Saccharomyces cerevisiae S288C: one gene and its partners. Changing the gene in region 1 together with any one later gene gives a genetic interaction. Each region holds a gene or a part of one and is shown in the gene's direction. Other genes may lie near its edges.

Region 1 (5,491 bases):
AGATGAACTGATTGAGTATGAGCTTAGACGGATTAAAGTCGAAGCGTTTGCGCGTGGCACAATGCACTCCACGGCGCTCAGGGAAAAGTGGAAGGTATTCTTGCAGGAGATGGATACGCTACCAGGGCAGCCGCCATTAAGGCTGCGCGACTTCCCGCAAATGACCAAGGCTATGGGCATAGCATTGATGCAGCAAGATGAGCAAGCAGCTGCCCTGGCGTTGTTTGGACGACAGCCCCTAGTGATAAAGAACGAATGGTCACTACCGCTACTACTGGCTGGTGTCCTTTGGCATGTTCCCGGCCCAGCGCAGGCGCGACGTGTGCTGGCGGAGTTCCGTCAAAGTTATCGCGGGCTGCCGCTGCTGGATGCCGAACTAGTGATAAAGAGAAGAGGATTTGAAATCAACACATAAATCTGGGTGGAGCATCGCTGTAACAAGGAACAACGCGTGCTAGCAAGCGGTAATGAAATACAAGGAAATCAATTTCTTCAAGGGCCATCCGAGCTCGAGGTTGCTGCCTCGAGAAGCAGTAATTCAAGCGACTGCGGCTATATTGGGGCCCGAGACCAGGGAGTACGATAACGACCCCTATAACAGGCATCCGCTGACGTACGGTTCGGACGAAGGTGCCCTGTGGGTGCGAGAGCAGATTTGTACGTTTCTGAATGATCAGCTGTTTAAGTTCGAAAATGGGGCTCGGAGCAGGACACGGGCAGACTATTTGAATCTGAATAGCGGCGCTTCGTATGGCATGCTGAACATCCTTCTGCAAACAACCTTGCCACATAACGGGTATACCAGGCAGGCGTTCATCATCACGCCAACATATTTCTTGATCAACAATTGCTTCACAGATGCGGGATTCAAGGGGAAAATGACCGCCATCAACGAGCAGGGCCACGACTCGATTGATTTCGAGTCGTTGATTTCTGCCCTTGAGCAGCACGAGGCGGAGCCGCAGCCCCATAGTACCACAGAGATGATTCAGGGGCCAAAGTTGACCAAGAAGGTCTACAGGTACGTTATGTACTGCATCCCGACGTTTGCAAACCCATCGGGAAACACATACTCGCTTGAGACCAGACGCAGACTTATCGACATCGCTCGGAAGTACGACATGCTGATAATCACTGATGACGTGTACGATATTCTAGATTACACGACGCCCTCAGATGAGCTGCCCTCTCCGCCCCTAAGGATGGTGCACATAGACAGAAGTACAGCGCCCTCCGGTGAGGACTCGTTCGGGAATACAGTGTCCAACGCAACTTTCTCCAAGCTGATCGCCCCTGGGCTCAGATTTGGATACCATGAGTCAATCAACGCGAATCTCGCCAGACAGCTATCTAAAGGTGGTGCAAACGTCTCTGGCGGAACTCCCTCACAACTGAACTCCATGATCGTGGGTGAGATGCTGCGTAGTGGTGCCGCCCAGAGATGCATTGCACATCTGAGATCCGTATACTCCGAGAGGGCCACTGTCTTGACCTCGGCGCTTAAGAAATACATGCCCCTAGGAACCGAGATTATGCCATTGAAGGGCGGCTATTTTACTTGGATCACTCTCCCACCAGCGTACAATGCCATGGAGATATCCACTATTCTTGCCAAGAAATTTAATGTCATCCTTGCCGACGGCTCCAATTTCGAGGTCATCGGCGATGAGAAAAACTGGGGTCAGTCATGCTTTAGGCTTTCTATTAGTTTCTTAGAAGTTGATGATATCGACAGGGGCATTGAGCTGTTTGGTGCTGTTTGCAAATCTCATGCGATCACCAATAACATAACTATGTAGAAGGAATACGTATATAGGTGAACGGTAATAAGAGGGTAATTTTTCTACGGGCAAAGGCAAGGAAGAAAAAGAAAAAGAAGGAAAAAAATATAATGTGATAAAACAAACAAGCAGCGAAAAAGCGAAAGGGAAGAGAAGTGTTTCTAGAGAAGAAAGTCATTTTAATAGTAAGTCAGACTCGTCTGCTACCATCATCCAGGTACCGCTTTCCTTTCCATCATCATTAAAAAAAATGAACATGCAAGACGCTAACAAAGAAGAGTCGTACTCGATGTACCCGAAAACCTCTTCTCCACCACCACCTACGCCAACCAATATGCAGATTCCTATTTATCAAGCGCCTTTGCAGATGTACGGCTACACTCAGGCCCCATATCTATACCCCACACAAATACCTGCCTATTCGTTTAATATGGTCAACCAAAACCAGCCAATCTACCATCAAAGTGGCAGCCCACATCACTTGCCTCCGCAAAACAATATTAACGGCGGAAGCACTACCAATAACAACAACATTAACAAGAAGAAGTGGCACTCTAATGGCATTACCAATAACAATGGAAGCAGCGGTAATCAAGGCGCCAACTCTAGCGGTAGCGGCATGAGCTACAACAAATCCCACACCTACCATCACAATTACTCTAACAATCATATCCCCATGATGGCCTCTCCAAACAGTGGCAGCAATGCGGGCATGAAAAAACAGACCAACTCTTCCAACGGCAACGGTTCTTCGGCTACTTCACCATCGTACTCTTCCTACAACTCTTCTTCACAGTATGATTTATACAAGTTTGATGTCACTAAATTAAAGAATCTCAAGGAAAATTCATCAAACTTGATTCAATTGCCACTGTTCATAAACACTACGGAAGCAGAATTTGCTGCGGCAAGTGTCCAAAGGTACGAATTAAACATGAAGGCTTTGAACCTAAACTCTGAAAGCTTAGAGAACTCATCTGTAGAAAAGAGCTCTGCCCATCATCACACAAAAAGCCATAGTATACCAAAGCATAATGAGGAAGTAAAGACAGAAACACATGGGGAAGAAGAAGATGCTCATGATAAAAAACCACATGCGAGCAAAGATGCGCACGAGCTTAAAAAGAAAACTGAAGTAAAGAAAGAGGATGCTAAGCAAGACCGTAACGAAAAAGTTATACAGGAACCTCAAGCTACTGTTTTACCTGTAGTGGATAAGAAGGAACCAGAGGAATCTGTTGAAGAAAATACTTCCAAGACATCTTCACCTTCACCATCTCCTCCAGCAGCAAAATCCTGGTCCGCCATAGCATCAGATGCGATTAAAAGTAGACAAGCTAGTAACAAAACAGTCTCCGGATCGATGGTCACTAAAACACCAATTTCTGGTACGACCGCAGGCGTTTCATCAACAAACATGGCTGCGGCGACTATAGGTAAATCCAGCTCTCCCCTGTTGTCCAAGCAGCCTCAGAAAAAGGATAAAAAATACGTTCCACCTTCTACAAAGGGTATTGAGCCACTGGGTTCGATTGCGTTAAGAATGTGTTTTGATCCCGATTTCATTAGTTACGTTTTACGGAATAAAGATGTTGAAAACAAAATACCAGTCCATTCCATTATTCCAAGAGGCATAATTAACAGAGCCAACATTTGTTTTATGAGTTCTGTGTTACAAGTGTTACTCTACTGTAAGCCATTTATTGATGTAATTAACGTTCTCAGTACACGGAATACCAATTCAAGAGTCGGCACATCATCCTGTAAATTATTAGATGCTTGTTTGACTATGTATAAGCAATTCGATAAGGAAACCTATGAGAAAAAATTCCTAGAGAATGCTGATGATGCTGAAAAAACCACGGAAAGTGATGCAAAAAAATCATCAAAATCCAAGAGTTTCCAACACTGCGCCACTGCCGATGCTGTCAAACCTGACGAATTTTACAAAACTTTGTCTACTATACCGAAGTTCAAAGACTTGCAATGGGGCCATCAGGAAGACGCAGAAGAATTTTTGACCCACTTATTGGACCAATTACACGAGGAATTAATTTCTGCAATTGATGGCTTAACCGATAATGAAATTCAAAATATGCTGCAAAGTATTAATGATGAACAATTGAAAGTTTTCTTTATTAGAAATTTGTCACGTTATGGAAAAGCAGAGTTTATCAAAAATGCTAGTCCTAGACTGAAGGAGTTGATAGAAAAATATGGCGTGATCAATGATGACTCTACCGAAGAAAATGGTTGGCATGAAGTGAGCGGATCTAGCAAAAGAGGCAAGAAAACTAAGACCGCTGCCAAGAGGACTGTCGAGATTGTTCCATCACCAATCTCCAAACTTTTCGGTGGCCAGTTCAGATCTGTGTTAGATATACCGAACAATAAGGAATCTCAATCGATTACACTCGATCCGTTCCAAACAATTCAATTGGACATTTCAGATGCTGGTGTGAATGATCTAGAAACTGCATTCAAAAAATTTAGTGAATACGAATTGCTACCCTTTAAGTCCTCGTCAGGGAATGATGTCGAGGCCAAGAAGCAGACTTTTATTGATAAATTGCCGCAAGTTCTTTTAATCCAATTCAAAAGATTCTCATTCATAAATAATGTGAACAAAGACAACGCAATGACGAACTATAACGCGTACAATGGACGTATTGAGAAGATCAGGAAAAAAATTAAATATGGTCACGAGTTAATCATACCTGAAGAATCAATGTCTTCCATAACATTGAAAAACAACACCTCAGGGATTGATGATAGAAGATATAAGCTAACCGGAGTTATATACCATCATGGGGTAAGTTCCGATGGCGGTCATTACACAGCGGATGTTTATCATAGCGAGCACAACAAATGGTATAGAATAGATGATGTAAATATTACCGAACTAGAGGACGATGACGTTTTGAAAGGTGGCGAAGAAGCTTCTGATTCGAGGACTGCCTATATTTTAATGTATCAAAAGAGAAATTAAGACGGGGGGTGGTATTATAGACAAAATACATAAAAAATAATATAGCAATAATACAATACAATACAATACAATACGATAGTGAGCACGATTTTAAAAAAGAAATAGAGACAGACAGAGAAACAGAGTTACACTTTATGCTTGGCATATTTAAAAAATGATTTCGCCCAGGATCGAACTGGGGACGTTCTGCGTGTTAAGCAGATGCCATAACCGACTAGACCACGAAACCAATTATTTCTTGGAGATGAACATTTAAGAAACAAATACCTTGTAGAAGGAATGTGAATTTCAAAATATTATGGCCTTTGGCAACAATGGAATCACAACAATTATCACAAAACTCATACATCTCTTAAGATTCATTTCTTACTTTAAGTAATCATCCAAATTTAGCCAAAGTTTGATTTTACCTAAAAAAAGCAGAGGATTCCCGATTTCAATCATATGTGCACAGACGATGAGTCCAACACGTTATCGTTAACATAGTGCTCAATATTGCCACTGCGCTTCGCAGGAGCATATTTCGTATACGCCAAGCCCAAGGAGGGTTTTGTCATTAAGCAGCTTACGCCAATTAAGTGCTAACCTCGAAGCACCATACTTTATCTCAGGATTTACAAACTCCCTATTGCACAACGGCAAACAACATAATCATGACCAAATGGGTAAAAAAGATGAGCTGTGAAAAAGCCAAAAAAAAAAAGGAAGAACTAGAATTACA
Region 2 (3,184 bases), on another chromosome or scaffold:
CAGAAATTGGAAAAGGCATTTCAGCATTTTGAAACACTGGGAAATCCCTAATGGAAGACCAAGTCAGGCCTATACCCCCTCTATTTAGAGAAGGGAAAAAATTATACGCCAAGGCTCTGCCCCAAATATCGGCCAAAGAAGTATTGTAATCGGCGTTCTGCTTAGATTCGACAGCATTAGAGATATGATCCCACCTTTTGGCTGTTTTGAATATATTAATGCCGCCGGGGGTAACAATAGAATCTGACAAATCCCAAATAGAATCGTCGTTCTGCATATTATTAAGAATGTCTTGCACGGATGTCCAATTGTTCAAGGCTAATGTACCAACTAGCCAGTTGCCGCCCGAGGCACCAGATAAATATGTTGTGCTTTGTAAAAGTCCACCCAGCCCATGCTCATAAGCACCTTCAGTTCTGTTATCCATTGCTGCTAGAACACCCGCACCTGTTAGCATGGACCGATAGCCCCCACCTGAAACGGCGACAGCAATTTTCGGCAGGTTTTCGCTGTTGCCATCATTAAATAGCTTCGACAAAACTTCTGAGCTATCTGAAAAATTTGCAGTAGCCCTAGTCAAGAAATCTTTTAAAGCTACACTAGTGACTTTATTCCTCTTTTCCAACCATGCGCTCTCATTCTGAGATATAGACGTAGCCTCTCTTACCAGATTTATGTCATCGGGACACGACACGGTGCCAGGAACATAACTATCTGTGGGCGACCACGCATTAGCGGCCAGTAGAAACTGAGAAATTGCGAATATGTAACTGATAATAATTTTTGAACATAATGGACGTATCATTACTTATATTATTATGTGTGTAATTTCCTTGCTTTTAGTCCTCTTAAAACGGCGTATTCCAAGCTGAAAAGTGAAATATTAGAACTCGTAAAACCACGTATAACTTATATAAAAGTGGATGAAAAGCGTAACAATAACATAGTAGTGTGGTAATAATGGTGATAGAATCCCTGCAAGTCTGGATCTTGCAAAAGAAGTGCCAAATTGAGTAATTCCATAGCCAAGCCATCTTAAAAGCAGGGAAAAAGAAAGAAGAGAAAAAGGCTCATTGCACAGAAGAACCAGTACAACATTCGCGGAACCGGCAAGATATTTTCGTGGAGGACTAAAGCGAAACGAAAACGGATGAAGTTGCGGTATTTCCTGATTTGGAAGTTCTATGGGGCGTCCACCGGTTTCAAAAAAAAAGGAAAAATGATTTGCGTTTTAGTCATTGAGAACGAAAGGAGGAATTGGATTACGCGGGCAGTAATATGGTGCGCGATGCTGGCGTATTAACGCGAGATGAAGGAGGCTGAAGTCAGGAAAACTCATGTGAGTGTGACGTTACCGATGACATTATGGACACTTTTAAATGGTCATGTGACGCGGTATCACAGGAGGCAAACAACTGTACTCAGCAATTTCCCGATCACCTACTAACTGCGCTCTCTTCGCCTGGTATGCTCTTTTTGCAACGCACAAAGCTTCGTATAGTATTCATTATACGATTATTAGGAGTGCTGATGACTATCGTCTGTATTCTCTGAAGTGTTTGCCGCTGTTGTGTCTTGCCTTGCAACAGCGTATGTTTACCGTTTTATATATTGCGTGGCGCGCACCCGGTGATAAGAAACATCCATGTGATAAAACTCCGCACGTTGCTTGATTAATTAACCTCGGAGGTGTTACCCGCAATCAATATGTCTGCCAGCCGCCCGCCCGCCCCGGAGAAAAGAGCTTAGGACAAGAATCACTGTCTCTTACCTTGGAATCAGGGCAGGTCCGCACAAGCGGTAGTAAGCACATACCTAAAATAGCAGTATTCTTCTTTCTTTAGAGAACGTTAGACTCAATTGAAAAGGTTTACTGAATGCATCCATGCTAGATTAGCACACAGTAACTTTACGCCCGTAACTTACTACTCGTAGAACTGGCCGCTGGTGTTCCGTAACCCGCCGCGCTCGCTCCGTGCACGAAAACAACAAAACAAAAAAAACAACAAATAAAGCATACAGCTCTATTTAACAGCTGAACTATTATCCAGTGTAATAGAGTCACAACCCCCAACTAAAAAACACTGCGGACTCTATTATACTTCAGTCGGAAAAAATATCGTTAAATTCAATTTCGCACTATAGCCGCACGTAAAAATAACTTAACATAATGTCAGGAAAAGCTCATGGAGGTAAAGGTAAATCCGGCGCTAAAGACAGTGGTTCATTGAGATCTCAATCTTCTTCAGCAAGGGCTGGCTTGCAGTTTCCTGTCGGTAGGATTAAGCGTTACCTGAAAAGGCACGCTACCGGCCGAACAAGAGTAGGATCCAAAGCTGCCATTTATTTGACTGCTGTGTTGGAATATTTGACTGCTGAAGTGCTGGAGTTGGCTGGTAATGCAGCCAAGGATCTTAAAGTCAAGAGGATTACCCCAAGACATCTGCAATTGGCCATTAGAGGTGACGATGAGTTAGATTCTTTGATCAGGGCTACAATTGCTTCAGGTGGTGTTTTGCCTCATATAAATAAAGCATTATTATTGAAAGTGGAAAAAAAGGGAAGTAAGAAATAAGAAGAATAGTTTTTCTTTCCCATTTCCCGTAATTCTCCCTGCTCCTGTATCCTCATTCTATCCATATTAACGTCTGTATCATTATTATAAGTTGAAATTTGTCTCTCCGTACCCGAGTTATATACATACATATATGTAATCTATCTCTCCTTTCACGTCTAATCTCTTATGTTTTTACTATAATATATAGCATGAAAATATACTCTCACACAATATTCCCAACGATAGCGCAGTAGCCGTTATGTACGCAGAAATTTGGTCAGGGCTTTCTTTTTGTTGAACTTTGCATACCCGGAAAAATGGAAATTAAGGACACCTACAAAAGTACACTGTAGAAATCAAATCAAAGAAAAGGTTTAATAGACGATAAATTTCCATACGTGCCGACAGGACAAAAAAAAAACCCCCCTACCATTTCTAATAACAGCTTCACCACTAGTTATACTGTCGACTTTCTACCGATTTGTTGGTTCCTTTTTATAACCAGAAAATCATCTATCAATTGCAATTTGTAAGAGAAGGGGAGAAAGACAAAATAATAATATGGTGCCAGAAAATAGAAGGAAACAGTTGGCAATTTTTGTAGTTGTCACATATTTGCTCACATTT
Region 3 (5,196 bases), on another chromosome or scaffold:
AACGCCGCTTCGAGGCGGGTGAGCATAGGTTATTGCCTGATGAGTAATTTCTTAGCGAGAATTGATAAAAAAAAGCAAGGCTATTATTAATATACGTGCTATTGTGAAATTTTCATTGGCGTATATATGTGAGGTGAATGTAAATATCTCCAACAAAAAGCAGAAGGCTAAAAAAAAGGAAAGGAAAAGAAGAAAAGGCAACGTCGAAAATGTTTACACCAATTGATCAAGCTATAGAACACTTCAAGCAGAATAAGTTTGTAATTGTTATGGACGATGCCGGTCGTGAAAATGAAGGTGATCTTATTTGCGCTGCTGAAAATGTCAGCACTGAACAAATGGCCTTTCTTGTACGCCATTCCTCAGGCTACGTCTGTGCACCTATGACGAATGCCATTGCTGATAAGTTGGACCTTCCACTACTGAGAACAGGCATGAAGTTTGAATCCAATGATGACGACAGGCATGGAACTGCATACACAATAACTGTAGATGTAGCCCAAGGCACTACCACAGGTATTTCTGCTCACGACAGGTCGATGACTTGTAGGGCTCTTGCAGACTCTTCCTCTACGCCAAAATCATTTTTAAAACCAGGGCACATCTGTCCCTTGAGAGCCGCTGATGGCGGTGTTTTGCAGAGAAGAGGCCACACTGAGGCCGGTGTCGATTTGTGTAAACTAAGTGGACTAAGTCCCGTCGCTGTTATTGGCGAATTGGTTAACGATGACGAACAAGGAACTATGATGAGATTAAATGACTGCCAAGCGTTTGGTAAGAAACATGGCATTCCTTTGATCTCCATCGAAGAATTGGCCCAATATTTGAAGAAATAATCTGGTGAACATTTTCTCCATTCATTCTATCACAACAGACTCACACATATATACATGTATATATTTGTAACTTTGTATATATCTTTTGTTTTTTGACCTTTTTCTTCCTCTATGTTTTTCAGCCATACAAAAATATGGGATTTTTAGCAAGAGAAAAAGTACATCTAAAAAAAGTAGTAATAGGAGGAAGCCAAGATTGGTTGAAACACAGTTATAAACTCTTCAAGGCAATTATGAACAGGATTTTCGGATATGGGAACAAAAAGAGCCATGATCAGCTCTTACAAGAGTCGAATCAGTCCATGAATCAGGCCCAACAATCACTATCGAACAGAATATCCCAGTTAGATACTCAAATCGCCCAGTTAAACTTCCAGCTGCAAAATATTCAAAAGAATTTGCAAAGATCAAACAACAAGCAACCCTCGTTAAGAAAACAGGCTTTGAAGATTTTAAATAAACGTAAACAGTTAGAAAATATGAAGGATTCTTTAGATTCTCAATCCTGGTCCATGACGCAAGCCCAGTTAACAAATGATAACTTACAGAACACAATGATCACTATAAACGCACTAAAGCAAACAAACAATGCCATGAAGGCTCAATACGGCAAGATAAATATCGACAAACTACAGGACATGCAGGATGAGATGCTGGATTTAATAGAACAAGGGGATGAGCTGCAAGAAGTCTTGGCAATGAATAATAACAGTGGCGAGCTCGACGACATTAGTGATGCAGAGCTGGATGCAGAGCTGGATGCTCTGGCACAAGAGGATTTCACTTTGCCAACCAGCGAAAACTCATTAGGTAACGATATGCCCAGTTACTTACTAGGTGCGAATGCGCCACCGGCTTTTATTGATGAAGAGCCAAACTTAGATACTGAAGACAAAAATAAAGCTTTAGAAAGCGCTCAGTGAAAACAAAAAGCACACAAAGTTGCATATTCAGAATTTTTCTCTCCTTTCCCTTTTCTTTATATTCTCTTTGCTGGTAAGCCAAAATATGTACCTTATTTAGGTTTTAGTAGTTTTCTTTTTTCTTTGTTAAAAAAATCCTGATGGAAAAAACAGTAAGCAGAAAGCACCATGTAGTCTAATGAATACAAATAGAAGTGAAACCGAAGCAAATTCACAGTGCACGATGAGTGATGAAGGTGCTGATAAAAGTCTAGATACTAACACAGAATTTATTATACAAACACGATCTAGGAGGTCTAATGCCGGTAATAAATTACAAAAACTATTGGAGCAGGAGCTAAGAGATATAGAATCTACCAAAAGACAAATTTCTTCCTATAAGAATGGTAATGATGATGAAGAAGATGAAATAGGGCTGTTGTTTCAGGAAGATGAAGATGATGAAGATTTCGAAATGATGGCAAAAGATGACGATGATGAAGGGGAAGAAAAAGAAGATGAGACTCAAAGTATAAGGAAAGAGCCCTCTCAGGCTTCAAGTGAGCAAGCAGCCGATGACTTAATGTTCAGCAGTAGCGAATCTGAGGACTCCAGCAACGAGAATGATGAAGATGCAGAGGAAAAGGAAATACGAAGACAAGAACTACTTTCAAGAAAGAAAAGAAACAAGAGATTACAGAAGGGTCCCGTTGTAATCAAAAAACAAAAACCTAAGCCTAAGTCAGGAGAAGCTATACCAAGATCGCACCATACCCATGAACAATTAAACGCAGAGACGTTACTATTAAATACAAGGAGAACTTCTAAAAGATCATCGGTAATGGAAAACACGATGAAAGTTTATGAGAAATTGTCTAAAGCTGAAAAAAAGAGAAAAATTATACAAGAAAGAATAAGGAAACACAAGGAGCAGGAGTCTCAGCATATGCTGACACAAGAAGAGAGGCTACGGATTGCCAAGGAGACTGAGAAGCTGAATATTTTGTCACTGGATAAGTTCAAGGAACAAGAAGTTTGGAAAAAGGAGAATCGTCTAGCTTTGCAGAAAAGACAAAAGCAGAAATTCCAGCCAAATGAGACTATACTGCAATTTTTATCTACTGCTTGGCTAATGACGCCAGCGATGGAGTTAGAAGATCGTAAATATTGGCAGGAACAATTGAATAAACGTGATAAGAAGAAGAAAAAATATCCGAGGAAGCCAAAGAAGAATTTAAATCTCGGAAAACAGGACGCATCAGATGATAAAAAGCGGGAGAGTGAAGAATCGATAAAGAACGATGGCGACGTGAATTCTTTGGGTGAGAATTCTTCATCTGTACACAACCAGAAAAGGATTGAGGAAACTTCTACTAACGATACAGTTGAAGGAGAATCGAGTCCAGATGCAGCGGTGAGTAGAGTAAATTCAGACGAATTAAAGCCAACAGCATTACCTGATGTTACATTGGACGCAATTGCAAACAAGCAGAGTACCGTTGATGAAGCTCCCAACAGCCAACCACAAAAGAATATAATAACTAATGAGCAAAAAATTACCAATGTAGGCGAACCGATACAAAATTTACATAATGAAGAAATTAAAGATGAAATGGTAAGTGCTCTCGAGAGCAGGGAAAATACTTTTGAAAACTCATCACCTGCTGCCCAAGTGGTCTCACAAAGGGATAATTCTGCAACACCTACACCATCAAACTCCACTGGCACTGAAGATACTATATTGATCTCTCCGGATACGGATATAAAAGGAGAGCCTGAACCTTGTCTGAAAACCGAAGGCATCGAGAACTTATCTCATAATGTACCACAAGAGACCAAAAGCAATACTGATGTTTCTTTCTTGAAACAAGTAACGTTTACCGACCATCCGCAAGTGGCCATAATCGATACTGAAGAGTCACCCTCAAAAAAAGATACAGCTAATGTTGATGAATCTTCCGCGGAAAACTCTTTATCAACACAGACCTACGAAGGGCCTGAGCAATTAACCTCAAGGAACTTTGTTACACTTTATGATTTTCCTAATGCTCCTCCAAATCTAAAAGATTTTAACACAAACTTATTTGGTGATCGATGGTCATACACAAATGGGTTATCCGCCACTCAGCGTCCACAAGATATGAAAACTGTTTTCCACTCCATTTTACCATCACCTCCTCAGTCTTCAGTACCGTCTCCTACCGTAGATATATCACTTGATCTGTCAGCTCTGGCAAATTTCCCATCTTTTGGGGAATACGATAAGAAAATAGTCCATCAAATCAACACAGAGATAAATAAGGATTTGGAAATCAAAATTAAAACACAGCCTCCAACGGGTGTCTTCTTAGCCAATGGTATAAGAAAAAAATGTTTAATCACAAATAAAGAATGTCAGTACTTTGATCCAAGGACTGGTGTGCCTTATTCTGATGTGGAAGCTTATAAAATTATTCAGCGGATTCAAGATCCTATTTCTAAGGAGGAGGGAAGGTCAGATATCAAGCGTGATGAAACGACAAATGAGGATAGTGACGATCAAGTGAGATTCAAGTGGTTTGGGTTCAAAAACGGCGGTATTTACCTTGATTTAAGTCAAAGACCTGCAAAAGGTGTTCCTGAAGGATTTTAATTGAGACAGACTATATAATGGTAGGTCGTTAAACATTTGACTATATTCCACACAAAATAAGAAATCATAAAGATCATTTTACATAAAAATATACTTTATACGCTCCATGTCTTATACAATCGTTACATTCATCAATTTCTGGTGAAAGCTTCAACTAAAGTTTTGAAATGATTTTCGGTCTCTCTGATTATTAGTGGTACGCTTGAATCATTATCGTCGTCATTCGCAACTTTCGTACCAACATTTTCAGCAGAATCAAAATTGTAGTTTTGTGCATCCGAGTCATTTATATTTAAATGTAGATGCAATTGCTGTAGGTTATTGTATAAATACATGTAATTTGTAGCCAGAAATCTTTCTGGTGATTTCGTCTTTTTACTGCACTTTGTCATGACTGTTTCGAAATCATTTCTTAATCTAATGATGGAATTGTATAAGGGTTCAGATCTTTCGTCTATGGACTGCTTATGTGTTATTGCCAACGTCAAGAAGCTTGATAAAAATTTACCGAACTGTACAGTTAACTCATGAGGTGAGGTCAAAGGGCTACTATTGGATGTGCTTGAGTTGCCGGCATATTTTGCCACATTTGTAGTTATTGCCGCTTTTCGTAAGCTCTCGCATTGAAAATCGACCAATTGCTGAAATCGAGGCCATAATTGAATTAATTGACCATTCAAGAAACTATCAAACATAGACGGTATTCCTCTCCTTTCTGATTCAAATTGTAATTGATTGGCCACACGAATACTTATTAATACACCAAAAATGTCATAATTATATTGGATCAGTTGTTGAGTGTATGTTGTGGCTTCATCAAAAGTTG
Region 4 (3,071 bases), on another chromosome or scaffold:
ACTAGACTCAATCGATTAAAAACATACATACTACCAGGGCAAAATGTCTGAAAATAAGAACTCTGAGGCTGAAGACGTATTTGAATTTTTAGATTCTTTGCCAGAAGCAAAGAATGGCGGGAAAATGGTTAATACTGACGTAAAGGGTAGCCAAGAAGGCGTTAAGGGAGGTTCTAATTCTGTGGCGGGCAAGACCGGGAATGATGGAAAGAAAGGTGACGATGATATCTTTGAATTCTTAGAAGAGTTGGAGAAGAGTAACTTAAGCTTAACTGACAAGAAAGGGGTTGAAAAGAAGGCTCCCAGTGAATCAGTTAATAATAAAGCACAAGACGAAAAAGTAGAAGAATCAAAAGAAAACAAAAATTCCGAGCAGGACGCTCACGGAAAGGAAAAGGAACCACAGCAGCAGGAGAAAGAAGAAGAAGAGGAGGAAGAAGAAGAAGAAGAAGAGGAGGAGGAGGAGACCCCATTGCATGACCCAATTGCTTCTATTTCAAACTGGTGGTCCTCCTCTGGATCCGCAAAGGTATCGAGTATTTGGAATAAAACTGCAGAACAAGCATCCCAGATCAAAAACCGACTTGCCCAAGAACAGCTTGATTTGACTTCAAAGATAAACACGAGCACGATTACTGAAATAGCCAGAAACTTACAGAAAATCGTTGTTGGTGAGACTGAAGAGGTGCTGCGAATTCATCTAGTCCATGATTTGGTTAACTATCCCTCATTACAATACAATATTGAAAGCAAGTTTGATCAAGTTCTAAGCTCACAAGTTGAGGGAGGAATCAGAATATTTGTAGATGAATGGGGCCATCCTAACAATAATGGAATTACACCTGTGGAAAAAAAGCCTTCAGTTGCAGACGGTGAGTTAGGCAACTCTAAAAAAAAATTACAGTTTAATCTATTCGACGGCAAGGTAACAGACGGTGAGAAACTGGCATTTGCAAACCTGGAAAATGCAGTCAAACTCTTCAATACTGCACATGAGGAATACCAGAAACAACAGAAAGAGGCTGATGCCACTCCAGATGACGATAGGAGTTCTATTAGCAGTAACAGCAATAAAATCAGTGATTTATTCATATCCATCTTACCAATTGCCATTCCGCAAAAACAAAAAGATGCCGACGGTGACTTTCAAGTGACCGACTCCAATACGCCAGGCAATTTCAATTTCACCCTTGTATTGAAAGACATAACTAACGATATTACCACCATAACAAGATCACAAGGATTCCCTGTCAAATGGGTCAATTGGCTAGAAGGATCCGTGGAGAAAACAGGATCAACAGCAAGTGAGGAGAGGAATAAGTCATACGATCAAAAGAAACAAAAAGAAAGTGAAGACGAAGACGAAGACGATGAGATCATTGATCCTAGTGAATGGGTAAAGGAATGGATCGAAGATGGATTAAGCTTGTCATTTGGGGTCATGGCACAGAATTATGTCATTGACCGTATGGGTCTTTGATACACTTAATACATAACATTTATAGCGTAACGATGATGTATAAAGTTACAAGCGCAGAGGAGTGGGTTCAAATTCGGCCGACTTGTTACCCGCGTTCGTTGAATAATGGAAAATATGAAAAAAATAGAGGAAGTCGTGAATATACAACGGTGTTCAGCACCTGTATTTCAATCTAGGGGAAGCCTGTATGACCAAGGGCTGATTAAATATTAGTGAAGATACAAGTAACACAGTTTAGTTATATTTTCTTTTCCTTTTCAACAGGATTGCCAACGCTGCAGTAGAGTTATACCAACATTTGCTCCGCTTTCAAAACCTATAAAAGAAAGCAGCCCTCGAATCGAATTAATTCACCAAAAATGTCTGCAAATAGCAAGGACAGAAATCAGTCCAATCAGGATGCGAAGCGACAACAGCAGAATTTCCCAAAGAAGATTTCAGAAGGTGAGGCCGATTTATATCTCGACCAGTATAACTTCACTACCACCGCTGCTATTGTAAGCTCAGTAGACCGTAAAATCTTCGTTCTTTTGCGTGATGGAAGAATGCTATTCGGTGTACTAAGAACCTTTGACCAATATGCAAATTTGATACTTCAAGATTGCGTGGAGAGAATATATTTTAGCGAAGAAAACAAATACGCTGAAGAAGACCGCGGCATATTCATGATTCGTGGTGAAAATGTTGTCATGTTAGGCGAAGTAGACATCGATAAAGAAGATCAACCCCTTGAGGCCATGGAACGCATACCATTTAAGGAGGCTTGGCTGACCAAGCAAAAAAATGATGAGAAAAGGTTTAAAGAGGAAACCCACAAAGGTAAAAAAATGGCCCGCCATGGTATCGTTTACGATTTCCATAAATCTGACATGTACTAAGAAAGAAAAACACAATACTACCAACATATATCCTGGAGTAAACTCTCAAAAATTTCCACATTCAGTTTTACCTATCCGTACACTTAATCAACTGCCTTTGGAGATGGAACAATAAAAAAAATGCAAGAGAGGAGGCCGTATTTGTATATAAATTAATATATTTAAATGTAAAATATATACAGTACTTGAGTTTTTTTATGAAGTAACGTATTTGCGCAGCATTCTTTTTCCTCTTACACTTCGTTATAACATTAACACTCATGCTATTGATACTTTTTCTTTATTATTATCTATAAAATTTTTTCGCTTTTTGTTTATGCCATGCCGTTAGCAACGAATTTTTTTCCATGCTCATCACTTTTAAAACTGTTTAAAGTATATAGAAAATATATGTGAATAAGATCGGGGTGGGACTATCAGGTAGCTAAGATTACGCAGATTTAGAAATGTCAACAAATTGTTTTTCCGGTTACAAAGACCTCATCAAGGAAGGCGATTTAACTCTAATATGGGTTTCTAGAGATAACATCAAACCGGTAAGGATGCATTCCGAAGAGGTATTCAATACTCGTTATGGTTCATTTCCTCATAAGGATATCATAGGTAAACCTTATGGTTCTCAAATTGCTATAAGAACAAAGGGCTCAAATAAGTTTGCATTCGTCCATGTTCTGCAACCAACTCCTGAATTGTGGACTTTGTCGTTACCACAC

What was found.
Region 2: mutations in UBP3 (region 1) and HTZ1 together harm fitness more than expected from each alone (negative genetic interaction), as found in Saccharomyces cerevisiae (9 studies listed by BioGRID, with this or other methods).
Region 3: mutations in UBP3 (region 1) and VPS72 together harm fitness more than expected from each alone (negative genetic interaction), as found in Saccharomyces cerevisiae (7 studies listed by BioGRID, with this or other methods).
Region 4: mutations in UBP3 (region 1) and LSM1 together harm fitness more than expected from each alone (negative genetic interaction), as found in Saccharomyces cerevisiae (6 studies listed by BioGRID).

The regions. Positions count from the first base shown.
Region 1 is NC_001137.3:468,965-474,455, reverse strand, and holds UBP3 (mRNA-binding ubiquitin-specific protease UBP3), read left to right. Parts: upstream 1-2,031; coding exon 2,032-4,770; downstream 4,771-5,491. Other genes in the region: PET122 (Pet122p), read left to right, coding at 1-415; YER152C (2-aminoadipate transaminase), read left to right, coding at 468-1,799. UniProt on the Saccharomyces cerevisiae protein: Has an ATP-independent isopeptidase activity, cleaving at the C-terminus of the ubiquitin moiety in natural or engineered linear fusion proteins, irrespective of their size or the presence of an N-terminal extension to ubiquitin.
Region 2 is NC_001147.6:302,970-306,153, reverse strand, and holds HTZ1 (histone H2AZ), read left to right. Parts: upstream 1-2,170; coding exon 2,171-2,575; downstream 2,576-3,184. Other genes in the region: PLB3 (lysophospholipase), read right to left, coding at 1-805; E3 ubiquitin-protein ligase HRD1, read left to right, coding at 3,119-3,184. UniProt on the Saccharomyces cerevisiae protein: Variant histone H2A which can replace H2A in some nucleosomes. Nucleosomes wrap and compact DNA into chromatin, limiting DNA accessibility to the cellular machineries which require DNA as a template.
Region 3 is NC_001136.10:1,423,994-1,429,189, reverse strand, and holds VPS72 (Vps72p), read left to right. Parts: upstream 1-1,982; coding exon 1,983-4,370; downstream 4,371-5,196. Other genes in the region: PAC11 (dynein intermediate chain), read left to right, coding at 1-2; 3,4-dihydroxy-2-butanone-4-phosphate synthase RIB3, read left to right, coding at 210-836; VPS60 (Vps60p), read left to right, coding at 1,070-1,759; VPS52 (Vps52p), read right to left, coding at 4,502-5,196. UniProt on the Saccharomyces cerevisiae protein: Participates in the catalytic exchange of histone H2A for the H2A variant HTZ1, an euchromatin-specific factor, leading to chromatin remodeling and changes in transcription of targeted genes. Indirectly involved in vacuolar protein sorting.
Region 4 is NC_001142.9:186,413-189,483, reverse strand, and holds LSM1 (Lsm1p), read left to right. Parts: upstream 1-1,839; coding exon 1,840-2,358; downstream 2,359-3,071. Other genes in the region: DUF5427 domain-containing protein MTC1, read left to right, coding at 44-1,480; tRNA 1-methyladenosine methyltransferase subunit GCD14, read left to right, coding at 2,805-3,071. UniProt on the Saccharomyces cerevisiae protein: Component of the cytoplasmic LSM1-LSM7 complex which is involved in mRNA degradation by activating the decapping step.